Cricetulus griseus: one gene and its partners. The protein of the gene in region 1 interacts with the protein of each later gene in a pairwise test. Links are inferred from orthologs where the notes say so. Each region holds a gene or a part of one and is shown in the gene's direction. Other genes may lie near its edges.

Region 1 (11,115 bases):
TCCCTGATATTCCTGACCTCACACCAGGGTTTCCAGCTGCTAAATTCAGCTGCCTTTTCCTCTTGGGGATCTAGCACACACCCTTCCTCTTTCTTCAGGCTGCCTCTCCAACTTCCCGTCCTGCTGGCACAGAAATATGGTCTCCAGCCTCTACCTCCTAGACTGAGCTGATGTCCCCTAGAATCAATCCTCTGTCCTACGTGGTCTCCCCTGTAGGAGCACCTGCAGAGGACGGTCCTCTCATCATCCCCCGTTGGCTATAGGGTTGGCTCTATGCCCAGCTCTGTGCCAGTCAGCCTGGAGAGGACATTTGTATCCATTCTTCTTGCTTCTTCCCCCTTACACACATCTCAAGGCATCAGCGCTGTGAGGCTACTTATATGGGTCAGCATCTTCCTTACCCTTTGTCCCACATTCCTGTCCCCCTCTCATTGTGTACCCCACATTGTCTTCAGTCAAGGAAGGAAGAGACCACGACCCCACTGTCTTCAGTACTTGACCCCGTGAGCATCAGTCTCTGACCCCAGACTCTTTCTTTTCTCCCCACCTTGCTTCTAGATGCTTTGTTCCTGCACCTCTGTCTACCCCACAATGCCACCTCTCCCCTGTCTCAGTTCCTCTCCTAACCATCGTCGCTAAACTTCCCCCAAAGAAGAAAACAGCTGCCTTCTAGGCCCTCTCCAATTCCTTGAGCCAATTTGAACTTGCTTTGCAGCCTAGGCTGGCCTAGAACCTGCAACCTTTGAGTGCTGGGATGGTAGGTATAACCCCCCACCCAGAATTCTCTAGGGCTTTCTTTGGCTTTGCCATGACCACCTGACTATCCTACTTATCTGCCCAGCTTCTTCTGAGGACTCTGTGCATGACATAGGCAGCTCCTGCCACCTCTCTGACCTCCTCCCTCTTCCAGTTACTGTTCCCACCCCTCCACGCCCTCTTCACCCCAGCCTTGTCCTTACTTAATACTGTCTCCCATCTTGGTCAACCTTGCTGATTTCGTCCTTACCTGTAGCAGTCGTGGCCTTTAGTTCTGAGTCTTAGTGGCTAGCCGGTCCTCCTTTCCTGGCTTTGGGGTGTGTGTGTGTGTGCGTGTGCGCGCGCGCGCGCGCGCGTGCGCACATGCATGCATGCATGCCTCTCACTCGCAGGGAGCCAGAGAGGGTGAGAGAGACAGACCCAGTTCAACACATGTTCTTGCTGCCTGGCAGGAGATGGTCAGTGCAGTGAGGGATGAGGAAACTGAAAGTGGTCCACAATCCAGGTAGCTCTGTAGGATGTCCCTTGGGTGTACAACTCCACGATGCCTCTTTAAGCTGAGTTTGCCTCTACAACTGGCATTGAAGCCTGAATCAAAGTCTGGCCAGCTCAAATGTTCTTGAGGCTACTCTGCACACAGTAGATACTCAAGAAAGACTTATGAGTGAGGAAGATGGTGATTCAAGGATTGCCTGGACTATATAGTGAGACCCTGCCTCAAATAACCAAACCCAAAACAAAAACTCCAAGTCCAAAAATTTATACTTGAGCTCTATCCATTTGTTCACTTCCTGCCCTGGACCGGCTTTCCTAGCACACTTCTCTAACCTCCCTGTAACCTGTTTGTACTGTGTAAATTCCTTTGTTCTTGAGATAGGGTTTCACTAGGTAGCCCTGGCTGGCCTGGAACTTGCTATGTGGACCAGGCTGGCCTTGAACTCATAGAGATCAGTGCCTCTGGAGTGCTGGGATTAAAGGCTTGCACCACCACTTCAATAATCCTTTACCTAACGCCGTGAAGATTTATTGAAGGTTTGTTCTCTTCTGACTGGACATTTGAGGACTCATTTCTCCTAATCAGATGACTTCTGCTAGAATCCAGCACATAGTAGGCACTCAATAAATGATATGAAACAGAACTGAATGGATGCCTGGCAGGGTGCCTGCCACACCCTCAGTACTTGAATGTGTGAATGAACTGGCTCTGAGAATTTACTGAATGTAAACCCAGCTTGCCCCTGGCCCTAAGCCAGCCCCTTCTGAGCCCCTCCTCAGTGAGATACTAATACTCAGGAGTTTTAGCTGTTGAGCCACTGGCAGCCCGAAGGCTGAGACTTAAGCAACCAGCTGAGTGCAATTAGAAAATGAGATGTCACGGAGGAAAAGGATTAAACTTACCACTGCTTGAAAGCATAGGCTTGGAGCTTCCTCCACGTGGAGCTGTTAGCCAGTGTGCCCCCTCGCAGGTCTTCACAGTGAGTGGCAGACACATTGACTCGCTCCTGGCCCACTCAGAAATGCCATAATCAGTTCCGAGCACCCTCCTGTGATCCCAGGGTCCTTAGGGTTGCTACACTTGGGGCTGCTATCCTAGGTTGCTGGGGACCCTTGTTTGCAGACCCTTCCAGATAGCACAACATGTGGGCTACCTACCCACTCTTCTTAAACTCCTTTCCCCTTGTTCTCCCCACAGGCTGCCCGGCACCCAGAAGAGGTTGCTGAGCCCCGGGCCATGGTCCCCTCTCGCAGGACGTGGAACTTGGGAGCCACGCCTTCACTGCGAGGCCTGTGGAGAGTGGGCCGGGTCCAGGAGCCCAAGCCTGGGATGGCTCGCCCCGCCCCAGCCAGCCCAGCCGCCCGCCCTTTCCCACACACCGGCCAGGGGAGGTTGAGAACTGGTGAGTCCGCATTTTTAGAATGCCTCTTCATTTCCCTTCCTTCCTCCAGATCCCAGAGATGAGACTGAGGTTTCTCGCGGTTCCTAAACTCAGTCAGAGCTGTCAGGTAATTACAGGGTAGCCAGCAGCTCAGAGCCGGCTGGGCGTGGAGCACAGCGCAGCAACAGCGTCACCGGGTGCTCCTTCCCTGCGTCCAGCCTGGGAGGAGGAGAAGGCTGGGGCGGGTTAAACTTTAACAGTCCATAGCACGGCGGCATCAGCGACGTTCCCGCCAGCCAAACCAGGTCAGGGACTCTGAGATCTCACTTGGGTGCTCTCTAATGTCAGCTGGAGGCCGGTAAACAAGGTAGGTGAAGCGGCTGACCTCCTGGGTGCCCTGCTCAGCACCCGACACCTGATTCTGTCAGGCTGCCCTGGTCAGGGGTGAGGAGTGAACGCAGGCTGCTCAGAGTATTACCCAGCAGACTTTGGATGCTAGGCCCTGGGTTTTAGGTGTCCGACAGCCAAAGAGGCTTTCAAAGCCATCCTATGAGCAGGTCTATATGGAGAGGGTCCTGGAGCCTGGGCCACTGCTGTACCCTAGGGAACTGTCAGCAGTCAGCTTTCTGGGTCATGTCCCAAGTGCTGAGACTGTCAAGGAGCCAGCGGCTTCTCTGCTCTGTGTAGGGGCTGAATGTGGGGGTGAGGAGCTGCTTTGACCCTTTCCCCAGCTCTGTGTGGGCAGGTAGGCAGGGTGCCCTGGTGGTGTGGGAAGGCAGGGTTATCCAGAAGAGCTGCCTTCAGGGGCGTGCTACCTTTTTGCTCCTGACCTACCTGGAGAAGTGTTCAGATGTACCAGCCTGGTCCTCTGGGCCATGAGACCATGGGGTGTGATCCCCTTAGTACACAGAAGAGGGGATACACTGAGGCTCAGAGAAGGCCAGTAACAAATTCCTTTCGTCTCCGTTTCTAACTGTAACACATTCACTATGGCAGGCAGTGCTTTGAAGCTCTGCAAGCTTCTATGATTGCCCCGGGCTGGCCACCCCCTGGCTCCTCTGCCAGGGAGCCTTCTGGCAGAGCAGGGGCTCTGTGGGTCAGTCAGAGTTGCTCGTTTGAAAGGGGCCAAGGATGGTCTCTACAAGGTTGTCCCCTGGGTGTGAGTGTAATAAAGATGAGTATGGTTTTTCTGGTAAAACAAAACAGAACATTTCACCTTGGAAAACTCACTAAGTTCATCTCTCTCTCTCTCTCTCTCTCTCTCTCTCTCTCTCTCTCTCTCTGTCTGTCTCTCTCTCTCTCTCTCACTCTCTCTCTCTCTCTCTCTGTGTGTGTGTGTGTATGAATGAAATGAGTACAGTGATTTTAGAAATTTCTGGCTGCTATAAACTTAGCTAAAGGTCTGGTGAAACCCATGTGTTACAGACAGGCACAGTCAGTCTTAGTCAACAAGTGCACCCCAGCCCTCTCCATATATCCCCCACTAGTCTTATTGTCATCCTGAGAGGGATGGTCAACCAGGGTTGATTGGCACATGGGGTCTGAATAGAAGCCCTGGGTGACACTAGGCATATTGTTAACTATTCAGGGTCTCAGTTTTCTGCCTGTTGGACAAGGGGGGGGGGTGTCCTCCACCTCTCTGGGTGGTTGTGATAGCAATGGATATCCTAATGGCTGATAGCTGTGGGTCCTTGCTGTGCCTTAGTCCTCATTGATCCTCAACATGGGTTATGCCCCCCCTTTTTTTAATGCAGGGTCTTACTTTGACTGCCTGGAACTTGCTTTGTAGACCAGGCTAGCTTTACAGAAATCTGCCTGTCTCTGCCTTCTGAGTGCTAGGATTAAAAGCATGTACCTGGTGGAAAAAACTTCCATTTATTGATTTTAGAATTTATTATTTTAGTTCAATTATGTTATGTGTATTTATCTGTGTGTAGATAAATGCATATGATGTAGGTACCTACAGAGTTCAGGAGTATTAGATCCCTTGGAGCTGGACCTATAGGCCATTGTGAACCACCCAGTGTGGGTGCTGGAAAACTCCAGTCCTTCGCAAAGAGCAGTATGTGCTCTGTGGCTGAGCCATCTCTCCAGCCTGTGGCTGTGCATTTTGACAGTTAGGCCAGTACTGTTTCCCACCTTTTGCAAGGGTGGGTGGGGGGTGTCCTATCCCAATAGAGGCTCTAGAGGATGCAGTTAGCTGTTTCTGGGTACAGCAGAGACCCATTGTGGGTTTGGTCTTAATGAAGGCAAGAGAGAAATTGCCACCTAGAGGCAGCCTGGGTAATATAGCTGTGTCCCCATGTACAGTCCACTCAGTGTCTTCTTCTTGCCTCTGTAGAGGAGCTGATGAACAAGTGTGGACCCCAAAAGCCACTGTGGCAACTGGGGAGCTCCCAGTAGGGTCTTATCTTCAGGAAAGAATTTCAGGGCCCCTTTTGGTAAGAGAATCAGATGGCCCCATCCTGTCCCTACCTGTGCTCCTGTGTGGAGAGAGCCTGTGAGGCCACATGAGGCCCTGCTGGCCACACCTGGACAGGTTGGAGGGGGCAAAGCTGAGCTCAGCTCACTTTGGCCAGTGGTCTTCAGCCAGCAGCCAAGTATGTCATTTCACCTGCCCGTCTGTCCTGGAACAGGGCGTGGAAAAGACACCCTGACTGGTGGTGAGGAAGACTCGAGCACCCGAACTGCAGCTCGCCCGTCCTTGGCACAGTGTCGGGCCCTCAGTGTGGACTGGCCTGGCCCTAGGAGTCCGCATAGACTCTACCTGACAGTCCAGGTAAGTGTGGGCCATCAGATGTAGGGCGAGGGTGAGTGTGGCCAGGGTGCTGGCTCCTCTGAGCTCCAGCAGTTAGGTCTGGTAGGGAGAAGAGCTGGGGACCTGCCAGGCACCTGTTGGCTAGCCTGTCACAGCTGAGAGCCTGCATGAATGCAGCAGGTTCCATCTCAGCTTATCTCATGGACGATCTCAGGAGGTGACAGGAGCTTTTCAGCCACACCCTGGCTGATGTGGGAAGTGAGGCCTTTGCTAAGATGTGTGGAGCTGGAAGAGATATTGGGAAAGCAGGCTGGTTTGGGGGAGCTGTTTATTTCTATGTAGGCAATGCCTGTGTTCCCTTGTTTGAAAAATCCAAGGGAACGCCAGGGTGGGCATGGTGCATGCCTTTAATCCTAAAGGAGGCAGAGGCAGGCAGAACTTTTCTGTGAGCTTGAGCCCAGCCTGGTCTACAAAGCAAGTTTAAGAGCAGGCAGGGATACAGAGAGACTGTCTCACAAAAGGGGGGAAAAAAGAGTCCAATGGAAGATGGTGGGGGGATGGGGAGATTCTTTTCCTCTGTAGTTGTCATTGACTTTCAAAAGGCATACTTACTATATGTATGGGGGAAGGCTTTGATTGCAGAAATAATACAAAGGGTTAGTGGGTTTTATTCAATGCTGTTTTGGAACATAGGCATTAGATCTCATGTCTCAACAGAAAGATACTGTTTTGTGTTGGTAGAATATTATTTTAAGGTGTGTGACTTTTGTTTATGCTGCATTTTTTTAATTCTGTGAAGCTGTGATTCTTTGCCTGTCTAAAACACCTGGTGGTCCTAATATAGAGCTGAACAGCCAATATCGAGGCAGGAGCAAGGATAGGTGGGGCTGGCAGGCAAAGAATAAAAATAGAAGGAGACCTGAGGAAGAGGAGGAAGGACAGAACAACGAGAGGACATCAGGGGACAGCTGCCCAGCCAGCCATGGAGTTAGAAAGATAAAAGCCCAGAGGGATCAGGTAGACAGGATAATTTAAGAAAAGCTGACGAGCAACAAGCCACGCTGAGGCCAGGCGTTCATAAGTAAGAATAAGGCTCCCTGTGTGACTTGTTTGGGAGCTGGGTGGAGGGCCCCCTCAAAAGGCAAAAGGCCAAAAGAGTAAAAACCATTTCAAAACAACAGTTTTGTATGGATTTTATAGATGAGGACGTGGAGGCTCACGCTCAGAGAGGTTAACTAACTTGCTGCTGGCCACACAGTAGGCTGAGATCTGAACTACTAGTAGAGCACAATTAGCTTGATTAGAACGGTGTAAAGAGGTGTAAAGGGTGGTGATGGTGCAAGCCTTTAATACCAGCACTTGGGAGGTAGAGGCAGGTGGATCTCTGAGTTTGAGTCCAGCTTGATCTACAGAGCAAATTCCAGGACAGCCAGGGCTACACAGAGAAACTCTGTCTCACCTCGACCCCAAAACACCCAAATGGTGTAAAGAATTCGAAGAATTCACAGTACAATTCCTAGAAGCTGTATGCCCCTCATGTCCTTCAATGTGTCCACTATGAAAGGTTCATCTTCACAGTTTTCTTCCTTGTACCACCACCAATCATATGGTTTCTGTATTTCCTTTGACATGTTCTATGACGTGCTGTTTCCCTCACAGTCATCTTGGAGACTTCTTTATACACATCAGTCATAGAGAACCACTTCCCTTCTCTGTCTACTGCATAACATTCTACTTGAGACTTTACCATAAACTTTAATTGGGCTGTGTGTATGTATGGTTTAGCATCAGAGCGCTGGTCTGGTTTGGATGCATGAAGAGGCCTTCGGTTCTTCCCATCACCACCGAATGAATGACGATGCTGGTGATGGTCAAATCCTCTGTATCTGCCCTGGGTGTTATCTCTGATTACAGTGAGCAATTCTGATGTTCAAGTAGTTATGACATTAGTATTTTGCACTCATTTTGTGTGTGTTTGTGGGAGTGGGTGAGGGTACATGGGTGTGGGTGCAGCAGAAGGGGCCTGTGGAGTTAGAGGACAACTTGTGGGAGTTGGCTCTCCTTCCACTGTGTAGGTTTCTGGGGATGGGAACTCAGGGCATCAAGTGCCTTTGTCCATTGAGCCATCTGGCTGGCCCACATTAGTTTGTTATTTGCTTTGTTTTGAAATAGGATCTCATTATTTAACCCCATCTAGCCTTAAACTCATAGAGATCTACCAACTCAGTCTCCTAAGTGCTGGAATTAAAGGCATGTGCCACCATGCCCAGCTGTATTAGTTTGGTATGGCATTTGTTTGCTTTTAGATTTATTTTTATGTTTGACTGTTTGCCTACATATATGTGTATGCACCATGTGCATACCTGGTACCTGCTGCCTGAGGATGCCAGAAGGAATAGATCCCTGTCACTACCTTTTGGGTGCTAGGAACCAAATCTAGGTTCTCTATAGATCTTCAGATCTGCAGACACTCAGGCCTAGAACTAGTTACCAACATGAATTCCCATACAGGTGCGGGGAACAGAACCTGGGTTCTCTACAACAGCAGCAAGGGCTGAGCCATCTCTCTAGCACCCATGTCTTACTTAGGGTTTCTATTGCTGCAACAAAACCATGGCCCAAAAGCAAGTTGGGGAAGAAAGGGTTTATTTGTTTACACTTCAGCATCACTGTTCATCACTGAAGGAAGTCAGGACAGGAACTCACACAGGGCAAGATCCTGGAAACGGGAGCTGATGCAGAGGCCTTGTAGGGCAGCTGCTTACTAGCTTGCTTCTCATGGCTTGATCAGCCCACCTTCTTATAGGACCAGCAGCCCAGGGACAGCCTCATCCAACATGGGCTATTGAGAAAATGCCTTGCAGATGGATCTTAAAGAGGCATTTTCTCAGCTGAGGTGGCTTCCTCTGATGGTGCTATATAGCCTGTATAGTACAGGCTACATTAGTGTATTTTTTTAAGATTTGTTTTTATTTTTATTTTTATATGCGTGTTTGGCTGCATATATGTCTGTGTACCACATGTACATCTGCTGCCTGTGGAGGCCTGAAGAGTGTATTGGATCTTCTCAGACTGGAGTTACTGATGGTCGTGAGCCACCATGTGGGTACTGGGAATTGAACCTGAGTCCTCTGGAAGAACAGCCAATGCCCTTACCTGCTAAGTGGTCTCTTCAGTCCTCCTGCATTAGTATTTTAATATGTGCATTTGCTGAACAGATATTTATGGATTGGCTGCCTTATGCCAATGCATCTAGCACAGGTGCAGGGATGATGAGAAGGGAAATAGGGAAGATAGCCCACCAGAGAGTCACCAGTGACCTCAAATGCATAAGCACCAATGGGAATACCAGGAACAAAACTTTAGAGAATGAAGTGCCAGTGTTATCTGGGGGTGTTGCCCAGATTTCCCTGAGAGAGGACTCAAAATCCCTCTGGCTTCTTTCTTTATATTTGTTAGACAGGGATTCCCTGTGTAGCCTTGGCTGGTGTGGAACCCAATGGCAGATACTGCTGCCTCATGTTCCCACATGCTGTGGTAGGAGGCATAAGCCACCATGCCTGGCTTTTCTCCCAGCTTCTTTGGCCTCATGCACATATCCTGCCCTCCTAAGTGGCCGCTGTGCATAGCCGGGATGAAGCAAGTGCAGATAGATGGTAGTCAGGATGGGCACTGGGGGAACATACACCTTTGAGCTGTCCTTCCTCTGGCTGCTGCAGCCCTGGGCCACTGCTCTGGGCAGGACCCCAAGGGCGATGGCACCTCAGCCACAGCCTGTGTTTCACCGTGTTTCTTTATTCTTGTGAGATTCTTCTGGGAGCTGAGCTGCCCATACTTTTGTCCTTTGTGAGGTCCCAGAGGGTCTGGTGAGACAACAGTTAAAGAAACCAGAGGGAAGTTAAATCGGGAGGCTGTGGTGAGGAGCTGCAGCTCAGCTGGGTGGTGGCCCTGTTCTTGAGCTTTGATTATGGGGTGCTGGGCTGTGGCTGCTATGGAGGCCTGGGCTCAGCAGTTCTGCTCACATTCCACTCAGAAGCTGATAGCCTCTGGCTTCCAAGTTCATGTCCTTCCGGCCCCTGCCGAACTCTGCCATGTTTATGGATATGGATATGTAACAAAGTGTGTCCCAAGCACAGTGAAGCGACCTGCAGGTCACAGAGTCAGTCACTCCAGCCTTGGTCCATCAGCTAAAGCCTGAGCTGTACCCCCAGAGGCAGTACAGAAATTCCCAGCCCCTGGGGACATCTGTCCTTCCTGTGCTTCGGCCAGCAGCCCAGAAATAGTGTAAACTTTGCTCCTGTCTGAAGGCAAATGGAAACTTCCAGCTGCTGCCATCCCTGCCTCCCCCACCTCCTCCAACCTGCTCAAGATGGTGTGACAGTTGAAGGGTGGGGACAAAATTTAACTAAGTAGAATTTTCCTAAATACGAAGATGAGGGGGAAAGAGGCTAAGGTCGTGGCTAACCAGGCACCTGCCCCGGCCACTTTTCACTCTTGCAATTCTCTTGATTGGCCTTTTGATGCTCAAGTAAGTGGAGACTAGAGAAATTATAAACTCACCACTGCTATCTATGTGGCACTTCTTGTAGGCCAGGCACCTTAAATGTGCTTTACTTGTGGCTGCCATTGGTTTGCCCACTGGCACAAGTGGGCAGAGGTTAGTGGTTCTAGATTGAGACTGTGGAAGGAAACTGAGGGAGGGTGCAGAATTTGTCCACAGCCACCCAGCACACAGGTGACATGCTGTCTCATTGGGCTTTGGCTTCCCTACTACCCTGAGCATTAAAGAAATGTATGTGGCACCTGGCCTAGAGTGTTGGCAGAAACCTTAAATCCCAGTAGTGAGGAGGCAGAGGCAGAGGCAGATAGATCTCTGTAAGATCCAGGCAGCCAGGGCTACAGAGTGAGACCCTGTGTATATAAAAGAGTCATACTTGACTTGAGAGGGCACAAAGACATAAAAGCTTCTTACCAGATGTTTCCGTGGACATAAACCAAACCCAACTGTGTTTATAAGGTGAAAACTTCAAACCCCAGATGTCTCCAGAATGACCAGGAAGACCCTGTCTGCTCATCACCTTGCCTTTTCTCCTGTGTTCTCCAAGTTTAAATTGCTTTTGTTTCTATCTCAGTGAGTCTCTGTGTATGTACACCCCACACTGAGCACACACGGAGCCTGTGAGATCTCCAGTTTCATTTTCACCTTTATCTTGTGTATGACCCTCAAATGGGATCACGCTTTCCCACACTGTTCTGACCCTTGCTCGGTGTCATTCTCTGGGGGCTACAGAGGATGTCTTTGAATGAAGCACCCCTTTCCCACTCCCCCACTTGTCCGCTCCAGCCCAGCTACCTTTGCCTCAGTTCCTGACCAGCACATGGGTTCACATTGCCCCTGGATAGCCTCATGGGACAGAGCCTGAAGGAGGCAGGGTAGTCATTTTCCTGGTCAGATGGACTCATGTGCAGCCTCTGAGTCCTGGGAGGGCCATCCTTAGGTGGAAGGCCGACTGCCAAGGTGTTGCAGCAAATGACACTACAGAGGAGTTGCCTTCTATACACGACATGATGTGTATATTGCAGGACTGGATAGTTGCCTGTGATGATGAGGCTTGGTGTGAGCCAGTTGCTCACATGCCGATGACCCGTGCCCCACAGAGCCTGCAGGGATAGCACCAGCTTCACTAGGGGACCATAGAATCTTCTAATCTTTTTTTTTACTGG
Region 2 (10,144 bases), on another chromosome or scaffold:
ATTTTTAATACAGGCTTAAGGACGAGGCTTAAGAGAGAGGCACCTAGACAGAAAATAAAAGACACTTGCAGGCTACTCAAAAAATTAAGTATGAAATAGCGAAGTGGGTGTGGGCTTCTCAGGGAGAGGCTGCAATTGATTGTCTTAACATTAACCATGTATAACTTTGTTGACTTTCAAGATATATCTCAAGAGGGTTTCTTAAAAAAAAAAAAACGTGGGGGCTGGAGAGATGGCTCAGAGGTTAAGCGAACTGACTGTTCTTCCAGAGGTCCTGAGTTCAATTCCCAGCAACCACATGGTGGCTCACAACCATCTATAATGAGATCTGGCACCCTCTTCTAACAAGCAGGCATAAACATAATAAATAAATAAATCTAAAAAAGTCCGAAAAACAAAAAAGCAAACCAACAACTTGTTATTACCTCTCTCTCTTCTTTTTATAAGTGAAGTGGTTTCTGAATTATAATCTAATAAAGTGAAACCAGGAGCTACTTTGGTTGTCAAGGGGTAGTACTCTGCTTTCTCTGTAAATGGGATTTCTGGTGAGATTTCTACAAGATTGAAGGTTTACATCTGGGAAGGGAGGAAGGCCTTCAGCAGTTGGTAATTGGACTGCTGGGAGTATTCTCACTTCTTTGTTGACCAGAGGCATCAACCTGCTTCCAGGATGAGGAGGGCCCGTTCTTTTTCACATCCCCCAAAGTCTTCCTACCTTTCTATATTGCCTTAGGACTATTTTAAGATCAAAAGCTGGCCTCATGAGGTCAGAAATGACTCGCCCTTGAACCAGGCCCTCCCCTTCTGGTACCCTGACTCTTGGTTTTGTCTTCCCAGAAGATGGCTCAAGACCAGCCTTTGCTGGCTGTGCAAGAGGTCCTGAGGAAGTGCTTCCCTGTGGTGCAGGAGCAGCAGGACTTGTGGCAAAGCACTCTTCAGGGCTGCTCGTCCCTCCTCTCCTCTCTCAGCAACCTGGCTGAGCAGCTGCAGGCTTCACAGAATCTGAGGTTTGAGGACGTGCCGGCCCTTCGTCCCTTCCCAGACTTACAGGAGCGGCTGAGGCGCAAGCAACTGGAGGCTGGCGACATTGTCCTGGACAAGCTAGCTGAGAGGCTGTAAGAGACTCTGTGGCCCGCTTTCTTGGTAGAAAGATCTTAAAGCTTCATGACATCCCATCCCCAATCAGGGTGGGCCTACAAAAGTTACAAAAGCAAGCTGGTCATTCGGGGGAGTAAGGTTGAAGGACTGTGAGTTTGAGGCCAGCCTGGGCTATGTTATAAGACCTTGTCTCAAAAACAAACATACAAACAAAATATCAGGTCGAGTGTGGTGGCGCATGTCTTTAAACTGAGGGTAGTCAGGAGGCAGAAGCAGGCAGGACTCAGAGAAACCCTGTCTCATAAAAAAAAAAACGAATGAAAAAAATAACCCCAAACCAACTAAATAAACAAAAGTAATTACAAAAGCAGAAAAGAAGGGGACTGGAGAAAATGTAGTTTTCTGTAGTTGTCTTTAGTATGCTGTAGGGTTGGTAAGTGCTAGAAATAAGGGCTTTGTGTATGTTACCTTATACACCTCTGGCTTAACCCTGTTCATACACCTGGAAGCACAAAAACGGAAAGTCAAATAGATGTCTGATCACATAGCCAGTGAGGGATAGAGTGGGGATTCTGAAGTGTGTTTACCACATTAGCTGTGGCTTTCTACCAGGCTTTGTTCTACACATAGGTGGATACATGTGTAACTGAAACAGCCCACCAAACAGTAACACAGGTGTTGCGCTGATACTTTGTTTACTGTTTGTTTTATTACTGTTCATCACAGTCTTTAAGCTAGACTCAAAACTTGGCAGGTTTTGGATTGTTTCCTGTTTTTACACAGTTGGACATTTTAGAGCCCCAATTCGGGGCTAGGGGATTCTTTGGCCTTTGGAAAGTTACAGCCCTTGTCTTGGTTCCTTAGAGTTATAATACCTAAGCAGCCAGTGGTGCATGCCTTTAATCCCAGCACCCTGACTGAAACCCTCCTCCAAAAAAAAAAAGAAAGAAAGAAAAAGAAGAAGAATACCTAGGCACTACCAAAATCACTTTTCCTTCTTCTTCTTCTTTTTTTTTTTTAACCCCAAGACAGGGTTTCTCTGTGTATCCGTGGCTGTCCTGGAATTCGCTCTGTAGACCAGGGTGGCCTCAAACTCACAGAGATGCACCTGCTTCTGCCTCCTGAGTGCTGGGGTTAAAGGCGTGCGCCGCCACCACCATCACGGGTACAAAAGCACTTTCTACACATCATCATTATTTCTCTTTCTCATTCACTGCTACACTGACTGTGTGTGCTGTGTGTGTGCTCCTGTTCTTGGGAGACACAGTGAGCAAAGGAGCCTTTATATAAGGATTAACTCACTTTCCCCAGCAGTCTGCACCCCATCTACGCTGTCATTCAAGAACTGGATTAAAAAAGGGTAGTCAAGATGGCTCAGTCCCCAGATGGTTCAATCTCCAGAACCCACAGAAAGATGGAAGGACAGAATGGACACCACAAAGTAGCCCCCTGACCTTCACACACAAGTGCTGTGGCATGTGTGCCCCTTCCCACCATATGTAATTAAAAAGAATTTGCAAAGTGGGACTGGGGTGTAGCTCAGTGGTAGACCGCTTCCCAGGAGTGTCTGAGGGTTTGAATGCCCTCTGAAACAAAACCTCCAAATGTCAGTAGTGGTGAAAGGAGCCTTACCTCCTCCCTTTTTTTGAGATACTGTCCAAAATTCCACTTTTCCCACAGAGCCACCCTCCTCAAGGTTCGAGACACCATCAGCAGCCATGTGGAGCGGGTGTTTCAGACCTACGAGCAGCATTCGGCTGCACTTGACATGGATGCTGTCCTGCAGCCCTCAGTTGTGAGCCCCTCTGTGGCTGACATGTTGGAGTGGCTGCAAGACATCGACAGACATTATCGAAGCTCATATCCTTGAGTGCATCCAGACTGCTCAGAGCTGCTCCAGCAGCCTTTGCTGGTTCACATCTCACAAGATCAGCAGGCTGTACAGTTTGCTGCAGTTCTCTTTAGAGCTCAAACTTGGGTTCTTCCTGCATTTGTTTGTGTATTTTAATAGTCACTCCTTACAGTTTAGCTGCTAGGCACTGCTGTGAGTGCTGAGAGGCAGGCATGAGAAGGGGAATGTGTGCTGTCAGATGTGGTGAGTGCTAAGAACAAAGCAGGGAGACAAGGTAGGAAGGGTGGGCTGTGGGTTTTTTTTTCTCGAGACAGGGTTTCTCTGTGTAGTCCTGGCTGTCCTGGCCTCTGTCTCCAGAGTGTCAGGGTTAAAGGTGTATACCACCACCACCCAGCTTGGGGTTGTGATTTTAATAGTGTCAAACAGGCACCCATGAGGCAGCGATGGGTATGACATTTGAGCAAAGTTTTGAAAGAGTGAAGGAATGAGCCATGTGGATATTTGGGAGAAGAATGGTCCAGGCAGAAGGTACATGGAGTGAAAAGGCCTGTGCGGGAGCATGCCTGGTATATTTTGGACATAGCCATGAGGTCTGTGTAATGAGGGCAGGGCATGAGGATAGTGACATGGGACCTTGGTTTTTTGAGAAGGATTTTTTGTTTGTTTGTTTGTTTTGTTTGTTTTGGTTTTTCGAGACAGGGTTTCTGTGTAGCTTTTGAGCCTATCCTGGCACTCGTTCTGGAGACCAGGCTGGCCTCGAACTCAGAGATCCACCTGCCTCTGCCTCCCAAATGCTGGGATTAAAGGCTTGCGCCACCAACGCCCAGCTGGGTTTTGGCTGTTCTTTTGAGATGAATGTTCTCAGAAGATTTTAAGCAGAATAGTGTGGCCAAGGCTTATGCTTAGCATTCATGAGGAGGTCAGAGGATAACTTAACAGAATGGGTTCTCTCCTTCCACCATATGGCTCCCATTTAGTTCATTGGATTTGGCAGCAAGCACCTTCACCCAGTGAACCATCTTGGCAGCCCCTGGCATGGATGCTTAATCCTGTATCCCCTCCTGACTTTCCTCTATCTCCAGATTCTCTCTCTGAGCTGTCTGTGGTTATGTACCACAGTCATCTTCATGAGGTCTAGGTCTAGTTGTGTTCAACCAGGAGTTGTCAGCTCTTCTGTTGCTGGTGGGGTAGGGCTCAGAATCCCTACCTTGTCCTCCACTGCTGCCTTTATACTGGCTGAAGCCACCTTTCAACTACTTTCTACTTTAGCCAACCGTGTCAGGACACTGGGAGGCTTGCAGTGCCAGTCCACTCCATGCTTCCTCTGCCCTGTGCCTTTGTTTCTCTGTTTCTTCCAGTGGTGTGTTCATCTGAACTGCCAGACTTTTGTTTTTGTGTTTGTTACCATTTTGATTTCTCTAAATAGTGCTGGGATTAAAGGCGTGGGCCTCTACAGCTGACTAGAACTGCCACTGAGTTGTTTTGTTTTGTTATTTTTTTAATAATGTATTTACTTTTATTTTATGTGCATTGGTGTTTTGCCTGCATGTATGTCTGTGTATTTTGCCGGCATGTATGTCTTAATAACCATGTATGTCTCAGATCTTGAAGTTACAGATAGCTGTTAGCTGCCATGTGGGTGCTGGGAACTTGTGTTCTCTGTTAGAGCAGTCGATGCTTTTAACCACTGAGCCATCACTCCAGTCCCCTGTCACTGAGTTTTATCTTTCAAGTCACTTTGCTCTTCTGTCTGGTCCACCCTCAGCCTGTGAGATCCGAGTCCCTTTCCTAGTAGCATCAAGTTGTACTGCGGTACTGGTGCTCATCATTCCTCTTGGCACTGGTGAACCCTGCCCACCTGGGAAGGTATATTGATGTCACTTTTAGCTTCCCAGATTTCCTTTTTTTGAACAGTCCTTAACTTCTGGGAAGGTACCTGAAGAGAAAATACCTCCTTTCCTCCATCCACTGGGGAGACTTGGCCAGCATCCAAGCACTGCCTAAGGCCTGGAACCAAATTTCAGAAGATGAGTGCCAAACCCTTGTGCCAGGTACTGGTTTCCATTAGTTCCCCATGCTGCCTCCCTATCCCTGTTGCTGCTTGCCTCTTTGGAGGTGTTAGAGACAACCCTGCTGTGCTTTGGGGCCTTAATAACCCTGTCTTGTACCCCTCTTCCTGTTCTAGATATCCTGGTGAGCGTCTCCTTCTTCCTGGAGGAGCCAGGATGCTGCACAGTGTCTGGAGATCAGGAGTCCCGCAGTTGAGTGCAGCCCTCAGCTTTCTAAGTGAACCTCAGCACCACAGCCTGATGGACTGAGACACCAGTTCCTATGGTAGAGGTCCCTAGCATGACTTCTTGCTAGGCCATGGCCAAGGATCCATGACCACTGCACCTGCGGCTCTGGGAGGTGGATGGGGTGGAGGAAACAGGAAAGGCAGCGCTGATAAGCGGTGTCCATCGCTATCAGTAGGCTTGAAGTGGCAAGGAAGGAAAGGACAGGAGGCAAAGGTCCACAGCTGCCTCCGCCTCTGCGTCAGCTGAAGCACTTTGGTTGACTCAGGTCTTGGTTATGTGTGTATCACTATCTTGAGTCCTTAGTGGTTTAAAGATAGGAGTGGGTCTAGGAGTGAAGGGCAGTAGCAGTGTGTGTGTTGCACACATGAAGCCCGATTCAATCCAAAAAAGGGACGGATTGAAGGAAAGGGAGCATTTAAAATGTTTATCCCTTCCCAGTAGGAATCAAGCCAATTTCCATTTCCAAAGCCAGCCACCAGGGGGAGATGGTGCAGCGTGAGCGGTTCTGAATGCTTTGTCCTGGAGAGGTCCCCTGTTGCTGTTAAAAGTAACTGAGGGGGGCTGGAGAGATGGCTCAGCAATTAAGAACACTGGCTGCTTTTGAGGACCCACATGGCAGCTCACAACTGTCTGTAACACCAGCTCCAGGGGATCTGACACCTTCACACCAATGCACATAAAAGAAATAAGTTAAATAAAGTTAAAAAAAAAAAAGTAACTTAGTGCTGGGAATATCAAACCCACCACTGGTGAGGCAAATACAGGTGAGCTCTGTGATTTTGAGATCATCCTGGTCTACATAGCCTCCAGACTAACCAAGACTACATACTGAGGTGCTGTCTCAAAAAAAAAAAAAAAAAAAAAAAAAAAGGAAAAAAAAAGGAAAAAGAAAAGCGGGAAAGAAAGAAGTTAACTGAGAAGAGTGATACTACTACTCAGATCCAGGGTTGTGACCTCTCATTGGCTATATTCTTCTGGGTTTGGAGTGACTGCTCAGGTAGGCAAATATGCCAGCTGATTAGTTGGCATATGCCATTGATTGTTAGTTGTGATTGATTGTTTGACCTGGGGAGGGAGTCTCAACAAGGAATGTTGTAGATTTGGGTGGCCTGCAGGCAAGCCTGCAGAATTTTCTTAATTGTGGTGAAAAGAGCCATCCTGAATGTGGTGTCATTTCATGGCTGGGCCCTAGATGGAATGAGAGAGCAGGCTGAGCACTAGCAGACATGCATTAATCCATTGTTCTTTACCATGGGTGTCATGTGACCAGCTGCTCCAAGTGCTTGCAGCCTTGATGTTTCTGCAATGATGGACTGTACCCTCAAATTATGAGCCTAATAAACCCTTTCTCCCTTCAGTTGCACTTGTCTGTGTTTTAGGGTTCTCTAAAGGAACAGAACTGATAGAATACATACATATATATGGGGGGGAAGAGAGGGAGGGAGGGGGATATTGGAGTGAGAGGGAGGGCAGGCAAGCCTAATGCAAAAGCTTTCTTCTTCCATGTGCTTTTATGTGGTCCAGACTTGGGATGGGTCTTCCCACCTCAAATGATCCAGATTTAGGGTGGGTCTTCCCACCCCTAATGATCCAGTCAAGAAAATCCCTCACAGACATGCCCAGTTGCGTGGGTTTTGGGTTTTAGTTGATTCCAGCTGTGGTCAAGTTGACAGCCAAGATTGGCCATCATACACAGTAACAGGAAATAAGCTGAGAAGCAGCCTTGAGTCATTGATCAGAGCCATACTCACCCTCTGTGCAGTGGCCACTTGCCTTGGGATCCCAGCTGGTAGAAGTCAAGGCTGCCATGAACAGGACTTAATACAGAGGATGGATACATTTAAAAAGAAAGTGGCTTTGTTTAGTTTTGTTTGAAACAGATACTTAATGGTGTTTGGTAATAACTTACTTAAATAGAATTGTTCTTTTTTTCTTCACTCTTTTGTTTATTTGTTTTTTGTTTTTCCCACAGGGTTTCAGGGTTTCTCTGTAGCTTTGGAATCTGTCCTGGAACTCACTCTGTAGACCAGGCTGGCTTCAAATTCACAGAGATCCACCTGCTTCTGCCTCCTGAGTGCTTAGATTAAAGGCGTGCACCATCACAGCCTGGCTGTTTTCTTCACTCTTAGTTTTTCTACTAAAAATGCTATCTTTTCTCTTTTTTTCTTTTACTAAGAATGCATTTAAGTTCCTGATGCCTGTGGAGGCCAGAGGAGGGCTTTGGATCTCCTAGAACTAAAGCTATAGATGGTTGTAAGCTGCCATGTGGGTGCTGGGAACTGAACCTGAGTCTTCTGCTAGAACAGCAAGTGCCCTAAACCACTGAGACAGCTCTCCAGTCCCTAAAATGACAACCTTTTCATTATTTTGGATAAAATAAATATGATTTACTTGTTGAATAAGGTACACATAACCTAAAGTGTAAAATGTACACAGATATATTTAGTGAAAAATTTTCCCCCATCTGCCCACTTCTCTTCATTGCAGACAGCCATTGCTAAGTGCTCTGGTGTCTCTGGAATGGTGGGTATTCTCTGAAGTGGTCCCTGGTGACCCCACCTCTAATATTCATGGCCTTGTGTACTCCTTGCCTTTTGATGGGGGCCTCTCTGTAGCTCCGCTGCTAATGGGTAGAATAGTGAGAGTCACTTCTGGGAATAGACTATAAAGAGCACACTTCTGTCTTGGCTGCTGCCCCTTGCTCTGTCTTACATCTCCCACTTTTGGGGACGTCAGCCAAAACTTCGTATTTCCACCTAGTAGAGAGACATGGGAGAGTTCTGTGCTGGACAACACCATGTGAAGGAGCTTGGAAATGTCCTCCCTGCACTGGTTGAACCTTTAGACGGGTCCACAGCTCCACATGACAGCCTAGCCTCATAAGGACCTGAGCTAAAAATGCCAGCAGAGCTGTGCTTGGATTCCTGGCACATGCAAGTGGAAAAATTATTTAAATCATGTATGCTTAAGGGAACTTTCCTCCCACAGCAGCATATAGCTGACATAGGAAACAACAGTTTTGAGTTTTGTTTTTTTCATTGTTTTAGTGAATATAGTGACATATACCCACTTTTTTTTTTTTTTTCCCCCCGAGACAGGGTTTCTCTGTGTGTAGCTTTGGAGCCTATCCTGGCACTCGCTCTGGAGACCAGGCTGGCCTCGAACTCACAGAGATCTGCCTGCCTCTGCCTCCTGAGTGCTGGGATTAAAGACGTGTGCCACCAACGCCCGGCTACATATACCCACTTTTATATCTGTTTTTTTCCCACTGTACCTTGGAATTTGTTCTGTGTAAATATATAACTTCCTTAAAATATTTGAAACAGTTACAGAGTCTGGGAGATGGCTCAGTTGGTAAAGAGCCTCTGCTCAAGCATGAGAGCCTGAGATTGGATCCCTGGCATCCACATAAGAGCTAGGCATGGTGGCACACCTCAGTTTAGTGAATTAGTAAGTTCCAGGATCAGAGTGAAACCCTGTCTCAAAAAACAAGATGGAGAACAATAGAGGATGACATCTAACTAGATCTCTGGCCTCCTCAAGCACATGCATGGGCACACATCTAAATATACGTGCAAGAATGCCATTACATAGTTTGGTGTTGTATTCCCACAATTTATTGCTTTCCTCTTACTGATGGACATTCAGCCTGTTTCCAAAGTCAGCTTTCTCTGAGCTTCCATGTTTATTCATTATACTATTTGTTCCCCAATACTTTAGATGGGAAGCAAAGGGGAATTAAAGCCATGGCCTGGAACATGCTAAACAAGCACTCTGCCACTGAGCACCATCCCCAGTCCTGGAGTTTTTATTTAATCTTATGCCTTACGACAACAACAAAAATCTGTTAATGTTTTCCCTGGGATTATCAAATTTAAAGTAATTTGGGGAAAACCAAATTACTTTAGCCCCAGTAAAGCTCTTTGTTTGGGGGCACTACTGGGTGATGGAGTGAGTTCTTTAACATGTCTCTCAGTTGGTGACAACCTTCCCTGCAACTGTGAGCCATAGTCTAGTCCAGGAAAATAAAGAAAGTTGACTTTCCTGTCTCTACTCCATCCACATTCAGAAATTGACCTGAAGATAGTTTCAGGGCTGGAAATGGCTCCACGGGTAAAGTGCTGACCTGAGCTCTCATCCCCCTGGGCAGTCATATCTTTATAACCCCATCACTGGGAGGTGGAAACGAGGACATGAGCTATGGCCGGGCGATCCAGAGCCAATCGCTGAACTCCGGATTCAGTAGAGACTATCTCAAAACTGAAAGTGGAAAGCCCGGAGGTGGTGGTGCACACCTCTTATCCCAAGCACTCGGGAAGCAGAGGCAAGCCTGGTCTACAGCGCTAGTTCTAGAACACAGAGAAACCCCATCTAGAAAAACAAAACAAAATGGAGCCAGGTGTGGTGGTATATGCCTTTAATCTCTAATCCAGCACCCAGTCTGCTCTATGATTGGAGTTCCAGGGCTACATAAAAGAGACCCTGTCTCAAACAAACAAAACAAAATCTTAGTGGAGAGTGACCTGTTTTTCACATATGTATACATGCACCACATATACACATACACAAAGATTCTTACATGGCTGGAGGTGTGGCTCAGTGGCAAAGAGCATCTTAGCATGTTCGAGACTCATCCCCAACACTGAAAAACAAGGAAGACAATTCTGCACTCAGACAAAGTAAGTGTTGTCCCAAGCCTGGGCTCTCAGGAGAAACTCTGCCTGCCTGGGGCAGTACAAGCTTAATGATGCCTGCCGTGTTTGGCTCATCTGAGGAAGGAAGCCAGGTACTTTCCCAACCAGCCCAAGCACTGGGTCCTTCAGAGTTCCTTTTCCTTGTGAGGAGGGGGATTGCCACATAGTCATAGGAACAGCTTTGTGTTGGAAGGTCACAAAGT
Region 3 (11,215 bases), about 92 Mb from region 1:
CAACTAAACATTGAATTATAAATGAATATCATACTTAAATAGCCATTAAATATTGTAGAAACAAATTCATGATATACTAATAAAGCTTATATAGCAAGTAACAAGATCTTGTGGCAATCTGGAAACTTATCATAATTTCAAATAGTGACATATGTAAGTAAAACATCAACAGTGCTGCAAACCCTACAGTATGATATGAAAATACTTGATTTCTATTGGTGGAAGGCACCAAATGTAGCAGCAACCTGGACCTTAAGTGTTTATTTTGTACACCTGAATGAAGGAGATGGGTTTTTGGAGATATATATATATAGCTAATAAGGCGAGATTATGGCATACAGCTAATGTGGAGGTCGGAGGGCAACTTACAGAGTCAGTACTCTCCTACCTATGAGTTCTGGGGATTGAAATCTGGTCATCAGGCATGGCAGCAAGTGCCCTTGCCACGGAGCCATCTTACCACCCCTGTCATATATATTCTTTTGACCCTAAGCCCTCTTTACCCAGTAGAGTATTCCTAAGAAATTAAACACATTCCTGTGGATGACGGGAAACTGCTGTGTCATTGCTAGCCAGGAGCAGAACCAAGAGCTTTCTCCTACAGATCTGAAAAGACTTCTTGTCACAAGTTGAGTAGTTGTTTTCCAAAGGACCAAGAGAAACTTACAGAAGTATGGGCAGTGAAGAAGAAATGCACTCTATAGATACCATGCTTCGTGTTAACTTAGCTCATTTAATCATGTTAATTCTAGCAGTTATTAACATCTACAACCCTATACCACTTCAGAACCCCAGAAGTTCTACTGAGATCTTATCCCTTAAATTTACATCAATTTATTTGCTAGCAAATCATTAACCAATCCGAGGCTGTTTGTAATCTTTATACTTTTTGATGTGGAAGTATCAATGCTTAATTACAGAGTCCTGCCCAGACCTCACAGGAGTGTTAATAAAGCATAAGTTATAAATTCTATGGTTTGTTTGGGAATGGTGATGGTGGTGTTAATTCAAAGAATTTTTCAGAACACTTTTGGCTTTGGGAGATTCCCGTGAGAAAGTTGAAGATAAAGAGGAGTTGTTTATTCTGTATATATGTTATGTAAGCATCTGAAAAGGGACCATGTCATATCACTGAGTATCATTGAGTTCTGTGTTTTGAAAGAAGACTGTTGAAGCCTGTCATAGTGGTACACAGTTGTACTCCCAGCACTAGGAGGCAAGTCCGGACCACCAAAGGTCAGAGCTGGCCTGGCTGGAGATATTATGACAGACTTTGTCTCAAAAAGCAAAGGTCATGGTGGTAGCATGTCAGTGCACACCTTTAATCCCAGAACCCGGGAGGCAGAATCAGGTGGATCTCTTAATTCAAGGCTAGCCTGATCTACAGAGTGAATTCCAGGACAGGCAGGGCTACACAGAGAAACCCTGTCTCGGGGAAGAAAAAAAAAAGTCACTTGGCCCTGATGTAAAATACCTCAAGAAGTGTTTTTAAAGTCAAGTCTGCCACCGTGTGATTATACTTAAAACCTCATTTTTTTTTCCTTTTCTGGTTGTATCCAGAGAATAGCAGCAGGAATGTTCTGTTTGGAATATATGCTACACTTTACAGTGTGTTGGGTGGAACTGGCTAGGGAGGAAATCCAGGTGACCTAACTCTGGCATTAAGATTGTGCTTATTCCCCTTATCCTTGGTCTTCAGAAAGCAGTCTTAGCAGGACCAAAATAAATAACCTGGTAAGTGTCTTGTGACTAGGATAGTGGAGATGGCATTCTTATAGGCCAAAATAATGACGTTATGATATCAAAGTGTACCTGGTAAAATTAATGCATTTTTCACTGGTTTGTTTCTGAAATGCCTCACTCAGGAAAAAAAGATTTTTATTTTATTTTGCAAGTGAAAATCATCAACATTTTCTTCCACATTAAACTTTTTCTTTTGGTTAAACATTTTTTTAAACCTTTTCTGTTCTTTAAAGATTTGTTATTTTTATCTGTATGAATCTTATGCTTGAGTATGTGTATACGCCTGATGCTGCAGAAGTAGAAGGACCAGGTCCCCTGGGTGGTGGTAAGCTGCTGAGTGGATGCTGGAAACTGAACCCATGTCCTCTGCATGAACAAGTTCTCTTAACCGCCAATCCATCTCTCCAGTGCCTATTAAACATTTTATTTAAACTTTCATTGTGTTTTTCCCAAGATTTTCTTCTTGTGGGATTATCAAACTTCACTTTGGGTTTTGTTTGTTTGTTTGTTTGTTTGTTTGTTTGTTTTTTGAGACAGGGTTTCTCTGTGTCTTTGGAGGCTGTCCTGGAACTAGCTCTTGTAGAACAGGCTGGCCTCGAACTTACAGAGATCCACCTGTCTCTGCCTCCCGAGTGCTGGAACTAAAGCGTATGCCAACACCACCTGGCTTGGGTTTGCTTTTTGAATATTAAGCATATATTTTGTAAAATTAAACAAACTTCATTAATATTGGAGTATTATAAAGCATTAATGGAGCTAAACACATCAAGGATAGCTTGTGCCTGTTTCTTATTTAAAAAGTGGTTTTTATTGGGATTTAAAATTCTCTTTTCCACTAAAAAACCCAGTGATACTGTGGTATAATATAAAGTTCACATTTGGTCTTTGTCCCTCATTCCTGGTATAAAACTCTTCTAAAACCCCTGTTATCCTGAGTAATAAATAATAGGATGAGGAATGACCACATTATTAGAGGGTTGCAGTGGCTAGCCAGAAGCAGGCAGGCAGACCATCAAGGCTATGGAAGCTTCTGTGCTGGCAAACACATCACCATGCTGGGAGAGTGCTTAGCCCACAGGTGGAAGCTCTAAGCCCTCACCTGGCATTAGGTGGTATGGGAGAGCCAGAGAATCAGTATTGAAGCATGCAGGCTATCTTATCTGTTTGCATCACCTTGATATTCTTCTTTTTCAGTATCTGACCAAACAGGTAGAGCTTCTACGGCAAATGAATGAGCAGCATGCAAAAGTTTATGAGCAGTTAGATGTCACAGCAAGAGAACTGGAAGAAACCAACCAGAAGCTAGTTGCTGAGAGCAAAGCCTCACAACAAAAAATCATAAGGTAAAATTTCTGTTACTGAGGGCAATCTACAAAGGAGTTATTTAGCAACTAATTTGAAGTAGAATGTGCTGTTGAGGGTTTGGGCAGTATTGGACAAAGGTTCATTATTTTAGGGGAATGGGGATTAATTTTAAGTCCTTTTCAATTAAGAAAGGCAAGTTTGAGTGGCTCACACCTAATCCCCCTTCATTGGTTTTGATCTTAATTTAATGTGACAAGCAGCAACCAGCTTGTGTCTTATTCACAGCCTGACGGAAACAATTGAATGCCTGCAAACAAACATTGATCACCTCCAAAGCCAAGTGGAGGAGCTGAAGTCTTCCAACCAAGGAAGAGGGAGGCAGAAGACATGTGACCGGGAGAAACCAGCACCCAGCTTCTCCTGTCTGAAAGAGCTGTATGACCTCCGCCAGTAAGAGCCTGCCTTGTTGTGGATTTTCAAGCTGGGAATATCCCATGTCATTGATACACTCTGGATTACCATAGATGAAAAGCTCCATTTCAAGAAGTGCCCCTTGCCTGTTAAGCCATTAGTAGTTTAAACAAAGCCACTGAACTTAAATGTAACAGTGAAAGTTTATTGGCATCTATAATTCTTTTCATTTTAATCTGTTAAATATTAGTTTAAAATTAGTAATACTTCTGCTACAGTATAGATTTGGGGGATATATTTCACATTAGACTGAAAGAAAAAAATGAAAATTTTGGAAGCTGGGTGTGATGGTGCATGCCTCTAATCCCAAAACTTAGGAAGCATGGGCAGACTCTATGAGTTTGAGGCCAAAACATAGCAAGTTCTAGGACAGCCAGGACTATGGAGAAGAGACCTTGTCTCAAAAGAAAAGAAGACAAATTTTGGTAGAACAAAAATTGAGGCAAAAAAGTATTTTCACCTAAAAAAAGTGCCCTTATAATTTGTAGTTATGAATTTGAGTCTTTAATAAATACTTACTAAACACCTGTTAACACTGCAGTTGATGTGCCAGTCATCAGGAATGATGGCCAAAGTAGACATGACCTTTCAAGAAGTCAGATGCTCCACAACCAAAAAATTGCACTCAAGCTGCCTAAGATGGGATAGGAGAGGCCAGTTAATGTTTCTCCCCCTTTACTTTTTGTCACACTACTTATAGAGATTTGAGGCTTTTGAGATAAGATCTCATACAGCCCAGCTGGCCTCAAACTCCTGATCCCCCTGCCTCCATCTTCCAAGTGCTGACATTGCATGTGTGTACCTGGCACTGTGGATGTTTTCCAAGAGCAGATACTAACTCTCAGGTCAGAATTTCTTGGCATGAACCTAAAGCTGTCCCAGTGCTGCTGATGTGTATCCCTAGTTAAAAGTCTAAACATCATGTTTCTTAACCTTGGCCACACATTATGGAGAACAAACATTTAAAACCATGTAGATCCAAGTAGCAAACCAACAAGGTCAGAATGAATGGTGTGAGCTCCAGGTTTTTAAAACTACCCAGCTGTTTGTGATCTGCAACTAGAGATGAGACTCTTCTTGTCCATCACATTTCTTGTAAGCAGCTGTCATTCTGCTGGTTTACAAGTGAGTTTTCTAAACTACTTTTACTATTCAGGGGGTGGGGATCAGTCACAAAATTGTTATTTGCTTTCAAGAATTTTCCAGCCTCATATAGTTTAATTTTAGCCACTGCTTGTAGCATTGAATGAGCTAAAAATTGGTGTCACAGCTCTTTAAAAAGATTTAGTTTAAAAACCCCAGCAACTTCCTTTGTACCATCAATTGACATTTAATTATTTCCATATTTCCTCATAGACACTTTGTATATGACCACGTGTTTGCTGAGAAGATCACTTCCTTGCAAAGCCAACAAAGCCCTGATGAAGAAGAAAATGAGCACCTGAAAAAGACAGTGACAATGTTGCAGGCACAGCTGAGCCTAGAGAGGAAGAAGCGAGTGAGCGTGGAGGCAGAGTATAAGGTGGTACTGAAGGAGAACTGTGAACTAGAGCAGCAGCTGGGTGCCACAGATGCCTACCGAGCCCGAGCACTGGAGTTGGAGGCAGAGGTGGCTGAGATGCGGCAGATGCTGCAGTCAGAGCATCCTTTTGTGAATGGTGTTGAGAAGCTGGTACCCGACTCTCTGTTTGTTCCTTTCAAGGAGCCCAGCCAGAGCCTGCTGGAAGAGATGTTCCTAGCTGCTCCAGAAGCACATAAAAAACCACTCAAGCGCAGCAGCAGTGAGACGATGCTTAGCAGCATGTTAGGGGGTGATATCGTGAAGGGCCATGAAGAGACTTGCATCAGGAGAGCTAAGGCTGTGAAGCAGAGGGGTATCTCCCTTCTGCATGAAGTGGACACTCAGTACAGTGCCCTGAAAGTGAAGTATGAAGAACTACTGAAGAAGTGCCAGCAGGAGCAGGACTCACTGTCACACAAGGCTGTGCAGACCTCTAAGCTGCCGGCCAGGGACCTGACAGGACTGGTAACCCAGTCTGAGGCTGGAGCCAGTGGCTGGGAACCCACTCCTGTTACCCCAGAGCCCATCAGTTCCCCCACCACTACACCTCCAGAATACAAAGCACTATTTAAGGAGATATTTAGTTGCATCAAGAAAACAAAGCAGGAAATAGATGAACAGAGAACAAAATACCCATCTCTCTCTCCTTACTCTTAATGATACCTCCAGTTATGATCTGCTGGTTTTCTCTCATCCCCTCCCATTCAGACACATAAGCGCAATTTCCAAAGCTTCATGTTGCTAAAGATACTTGTCTCATTGCTTTGCTTAATTGGCAAAAGCGGGAAGAGAGATGGCTGATAATGTTGACTCTAGGGTCCCTAGGAAGTCTCATGATAGACTGGCCTCTGGTTGGTGCATTGATTAGGTTGACCTCCAGGAAAAGCCCTAGAACCAGTGGAGGGGGATCCATGTAGCTGGGGTAGGCTAAAGCACCAACAGTGTGGGGCAAAAGACAGAATTGGAACAAGACTAAGGCTGTTCCTATTGCTTCCATACTCAGCTTCTCAAACTACTTGGAACTCCATGGTCTGCTTAATTAACTAAAATGCTTTTCAGAAACACCCATTCCAAAGAATGTTGAGAAAGCTGAAATCTAATTGGAAATATGACATTAACAAGCTCCTTAAACCCCTAAGTTTTGTTGCATCTGCTACCAGTTGAACGATGACTGACAGGTAATCCTAATATTTCCAAATTCAAATGAATGCCAGTTGAAATGGCAAGTTTTGTTTTGATTAATGCCTATTGGTATATGCCGAGCATTCAGCTGTTTTACTCAAATCTATATGTAGTATTCTGTTTTCAAATAGAAACTAAAGGAGAAATGTTAAGGTGTGATCTGCGCTGACCACTTGGCAGCACAAGCTGCTCCTACTCAGTTCTTAACATTCCTAGACTTGCAGAAGTTCCTGTCTACTGCATTACACGGTATTGATGTTCTGACTGTGGAAACACTCTTCTCACTTGTACACTTTTAATTTAAAAATATTTAAGAGAACCATGGTTCTGATTGTTGTATATATTTTTCTAAAAGCCAAATAAAGCTATCTATGAATGTGAACAAATAAATTACTGCCTGTTTTAAGCTTAATGCCATTTTACAGTTGAAACAACTGGCTTTTCCCCAATAGATAGCTCTAGGGAATTTGAAAATAATTTCTCCTTATTTACTTTTAAGCAAGAAACCCTTGGGATTGTATAACTTAATATAAATTCTGTCCATGTTGCTAAATATTATGATTGAAAACATTTTCCAGGGACTGGAGAGGTGGCTCACAGGTTAAGAGCACTGGCTACTCTTCCAGAGGTCCTAAATTCACTTCCTAGCAACCACATGGTGGCTCACAACCATCAGTAATGAGATCTTGTGCCCTCTTCTGGTGTGTAGGCATATATGTGGGCCAAACACTGTATACATAATAAATACAATCTTAAAAAAAGAAAACATTTCCCACTATTTCAGAAGTGTCTGGCTTAGTTCTGAATTCATAGCATTTAACTATTTGGTTGTTAAAGCATCCAATCAGTTAATCATAGTTAAAAACTTTTCGATGTTTGACTATTGGGCTGGGACAAAGGCTCAGTTGAGTAAAGTGCTTGTGTAAAGACCAGAGTTCATGCCACAGCACCCGAGTAAAAGGTACGAGCATGGTGCATGTACATGCAATAGCACCCATGCTATTATGGGTATGGAGGCAGACACCAGCAGATCTCAAGGACTCACTGGCTCTAACCAATCGGTAAGTTCCAACTTCAAAACTCAAAAAATGAGAGCAAGCGCTACAGCAATATCTCAATGGTTCAATGGTTAAGAGTACACTGCTCAGCCGGGCGGTGGTGGCGCATGCCTTTAATCCCAGCACTTGGGAGGCAGTGGCAGACGGATCTCTGTGAGTTCGAGACCAGCCTGGTCTACAAGAGCTAGTTCCAGGACAGCCTCCAAAGCCACAGAGAAACCCTGTCTAGAAAAAAAAAAAAAAAAAGTACATTGCTCTTGCAGGGAACCCAGGTTAGTTCCCAGTACTGCCTGTAACTCCAGCTCCTGGTGATTGTAATGCTTCTGGCCTTGAGCACCTGCACACATACCTGTACACCTGTGCTTGCGTGTGAAAATACTGTCTTTTCATAGAAGAGTGATGATAGAGGAAGACATTTGATGTCAATGTCTGGTCCACAAATATATCAACACACACAATAACATTAGTCAAATATTATGATTATTGATTCTAAATTAGATGTGTTTTTGAATTAATTCTTAAAAGTTTTGTACTAGTGGCATGGATAAAGGAACTGAGTTCAATCCCCAGAATCCACATGGTGGAAGAGAACCAAGTGCCTGCCATAAGTTGTATTCTGATCTCCACACTGGTGGCACTTACATGCCCCTACATATACACTCATAAACAAAATGTAAAATAAAAATTTAATTCCATTTTTTGTTTTGGTTTGAAATGGGATTTTACTATATAGCTGTGGCTAACCTAAAACTCACTGTAGACCAAACTGGCCTTGAGCTTGCAGCACTTCTACCTGTCATGTACTAGGATCTGACTATCCACACCCAGCCTCCAGGTTTGTTTTTGAGATGGTCCCATGTAGCTGATGATGACCTTGAACTTCAAACTCCATTTCCCAAGTTGCTGGTGTTATCCTGTCTGGCCTATGCCGTAATGGGGATCGAACCCAGGACTCATGTTCGATAGGCAGGTAGTCGCCAACTAACCTTTTATGGAAAAGTCTTGTTTGTAGTCCAGACTGACCTCACGCTGCTGGTGATCTTCCTGCTTTAGTCTTTCAAGTGCTGGGATTACAAGTATGTACTGCTACTTACAGCTTTCCTGACTACCAACCCAGCTCTTCCCAAAAATCAGCCTACGTATATAATATATATATGTGTGTGTGTGTGTGTGTGTGTGTACATAAACATAATATATATATATATATATATATATATGTATATGTATATGTATATTCCTTTATATTCTTCCCAGATAGGCATACACTAGCACAGCAATGTTTGTTACCCCACATTTAAAAACAAAACTATTGTAAATACTGTATCTTAATGACAGCTATAGTGTCACAGCCTCTATGAGGAGATGGTTTCTCTTCTACAATTACTAAAAATGTAATGGATACATTTGAACATCAAAGTGAAAGTGAAAAGATGAGAGCACTTTGGCATCACTGAACTGTCATACTTCGGGTAACTCCATATTAGGATGCCTGGTGTCTCAAACCCATGCCAATAAGCTTTTAATTTTCTGAGAAAGGGTGTCATGATGTTGCTGAGGCTGTCCAATAAACTTTACTATTAATCTAATAGGAAGATGGTGTTTTCTTAAAAGCTTATATTTACATTTGTCTTATACAACTTGATAAAGTTGTATATTCTTTGGTTTTGGTTTAATTTGTGCTTTTTTGTTGTTTGCTTTTGAGACAGGGCCACCTCACATAGCCCTGTCTGGCCTGGAATTTGCTCTGTAGACCAGGCTGGCCTCTCTCTGCTGGCCTCTGCCTCCAAAGGTGTGTGCCACTGCTGGAAGAGTTGAATATTCCTGCTGTTAGCCATTTGTATTCTCCTTTGCCTGTTTGTTAAAGAGCATTAGTACTTAGGAAGCATACTTTTGCAGTTGAAGATTGCAAATATTTTCTTTGAATATCTTATTTTACTTTTAGTGGAAGTTTGCCAAACAAATTTATAACCATGTTTCTTGACTACAAATTTATAACCATGTTTCTTGACAAGTGCCTTGAATGATTTGTCCCTTCTGTTCCATATTTCTATCCATCTGAACTGTTCCCCACCAAATGAAATGCTACTCATGAATTTGAACCAATTTATACTCTAGGGTCTGATTTTCATATGTATAGGTCAATTTAATGGCTATATTTAGATATTTATATTTTTTATAACTGAAAGGGAAAATGGAATTTCTTTCATAGAATTTTTCCAGATTTGGCAGGGGAGGTGGCATGTTTTTCTCTAAAGTTGTCTAGTTCTTTTTTTTGTTTTTCGAGACAGAGTTTCTCTGTGGCTTTGGAGGCTGCCCTGGAACTAGCTCTTGTAGACCAGGCTCGTCTCGAACTCAAAGAGATGCGCCTGCCTCTGCCTCCCAAGTGCTGGGATTAAAGGCGTGCGCCACCAATGTCCAGCCTTGTCTAGTTCTTGAATGGAAGTATTTATTTATTGGGGTTGGGTTTTTTTTTGTTTAGTTTAGTTTTGTTTTAAAGACTTGGTTTTTGTTATTTGTAGCCCTGGCTGTCCTGGGACACCATATGTAGACCAGGGTGGTCTCAGACTCAGAGATCCACCTGTCTCTGTCTCCTGAGTGCTGGGATTAAAGATGTGTGCCACCATACCCAGTTAAAGATTTATTTAATGTGTATGAGTATTTCATCTTCAACATGCATTGTCCACAGAGGCCAAAAGAGGGGACTGGATCACCTGGAACTTGATATCCATTGTTGTGTGCCATCATGTGGATGCTGGGAACAGAACGTGGGTATTTTGCAAGAGCAACAAGTGTTCTGAGCCATCCCTCCAGACCCTTGAAGTTAGTTTTGTCTCTGCCGTTCCTGACTTGGGTTTCTCTGTGTAATAGCCCTGCTGTCCTGGAACTTGATTTGCAGATCAGGGTGGCCTCAAACTCAAGAGATATGCCAGACTGTGCCTCCTGAGTGCTGGGATTACAAGCATGTCACCACTGCCCAATTTGAAATCAGTTTTTACAATTACTTTGTGTTTGCCTGCATGTATGTCTCTACCATGTATGTGCCTGGTGCCCAATGAGACCAAAAGATGGTGTCATCCCTCAGAAGTGCGGTAACAGATTGTTGTGAGCCACCATGTGGGGGTGCTGGGAATTGAACACCAGTTCTCTGAAGAACAGCTAGTGCTTTAACTGCTGAACCATCTATCTCTTCAGCCTGAGGTCAGTTTGTTTTGTTTTGATTTTTTTTTTTTCTTGGTTTCTTGAGACAAGGTTTCTCTGTGTAGCCCTGGCTGTCCTGAAACTAACTCTGTAGACCAGGCTAGCTTCAGACTCGGAAATCCACCTGATACAGGGACACCTCTCAAATTTTGCACGTTTTGAAACATTTCTCTGTAGGCTTGTAGCTACTGTTGCATATGAGAAGCTAATGATTCTGGCTGTGTTGTTGAATGATTAGGAGTAGCTTTTACATGGTAGTTCTGAAAAAATAATTTTAACTAATTGATTTTTTTAACTCAGATCTAACTCTTGTCTAACTTGTTTACCTAGAGTACCATAATTGTGATGAGTAAACATACGTGTCAGTCTCTAAAGTGTATGGATACTGTTCTATTAGTTATGGTGCTGGGCTTCTGTTCAGTCAATAATATAAAATAAAAATATTTTAATTTATACCAAGTCGATTTGTATCTAATTAGACAAAATTTTACTTCCACTTTTCCCCTTTATCGTGTACATGTATATATCTTTTCCTCTTTTAGTCACACAAAGTAACATACTGTCATATACTTTGTATATTACCTAAAATGTCTCTTGCCAAATTCTCAGCATACTATTTCTTTCCCAGAAGTCCTGATGTTGTAGATTACTTCACCCGACACAACTGCAGTTTTTACTCTGATCTACATCTATGTAT

What was found.
Region 2: the proteins of Kifc3 (region 1) and CUNH1orf109 interact in binary tests that used the Homo sapiens proteins (3 or more experiments, as listed by UniProt). The two-hybrid records come from large-scale screens. The link is inferred for Cricetulus griseus from reciprocal best matches to the Homo sapiens genes KIFC3 and AIRIM.
Region 3: the proteins of Kifc3 (region 1) and Cdr2 interact in binary tests that used the Homo sapiens proteins (3 or more experiments, as listed by UniProt). The two-hybrid records come from large-scale screens. The link is inferred for Cricetulus griseus from reciprocal best matches to the Homo sapiens genes KIFC3 and CDR2.

The regions. Positions count from the first base shown.
Region 1 is NC_048596.1:171,331,783-171,342,897, reverse strand, and holds part of Kifc3 (kinesin-like protein KIFC3), read left to right. Parts: intron 1-2,449; 5' UTR 2,450-2,488; coding exon 2,489-2,654; intron 2,655-5,269; coding exon 5,270-5,412; intron 5,413-11,115. UniProt on the Homo sapiens protein: Minus-end microtubule-dependent motor protein. Involved in apically targeted transport. Required for zonula adherens maintenance.
Region 2 is NC_048595.1:28,108,755-28,118,898, reverse strand, and holds the end of CUNH1orf109 (uncharacterized protein C1orf109 homolog), read left to right. Parts: intron 1-837; exon of another isoform or gene 838-840; coding exon 841-1,115; intron 1,116-2,778; coding exon 2,779-2,958; intron 2,959-4,882; coding exon 4,883-5,001; intron 5,002-5,135; coding exon 5,136-5,215; 3' UTR 5,216-6,604; downstream 6,605-10,144. UniProt on the Homo sapiens protein: Part of the 55LCC heterohexameric ATPase complex which is chromatin-associated and promotes replisome proteostasis to maintain replication fork progression and genome stability.
Region 3 is NC_048596.1:79,697,651-79,708,865, forward strand, and holds the end of Cdr2 (cerebellar degeneration-related protein 2), read left to right. Parts: intron 1-2,937; coding exon 2,938-3,086; intron 3,087-3,333; coding exon 3,334-3,498; intron 3,499-4,875; coding exon 4,876-5,737; 3' UTR 5,738-6,652; downstream 6,653-11,215.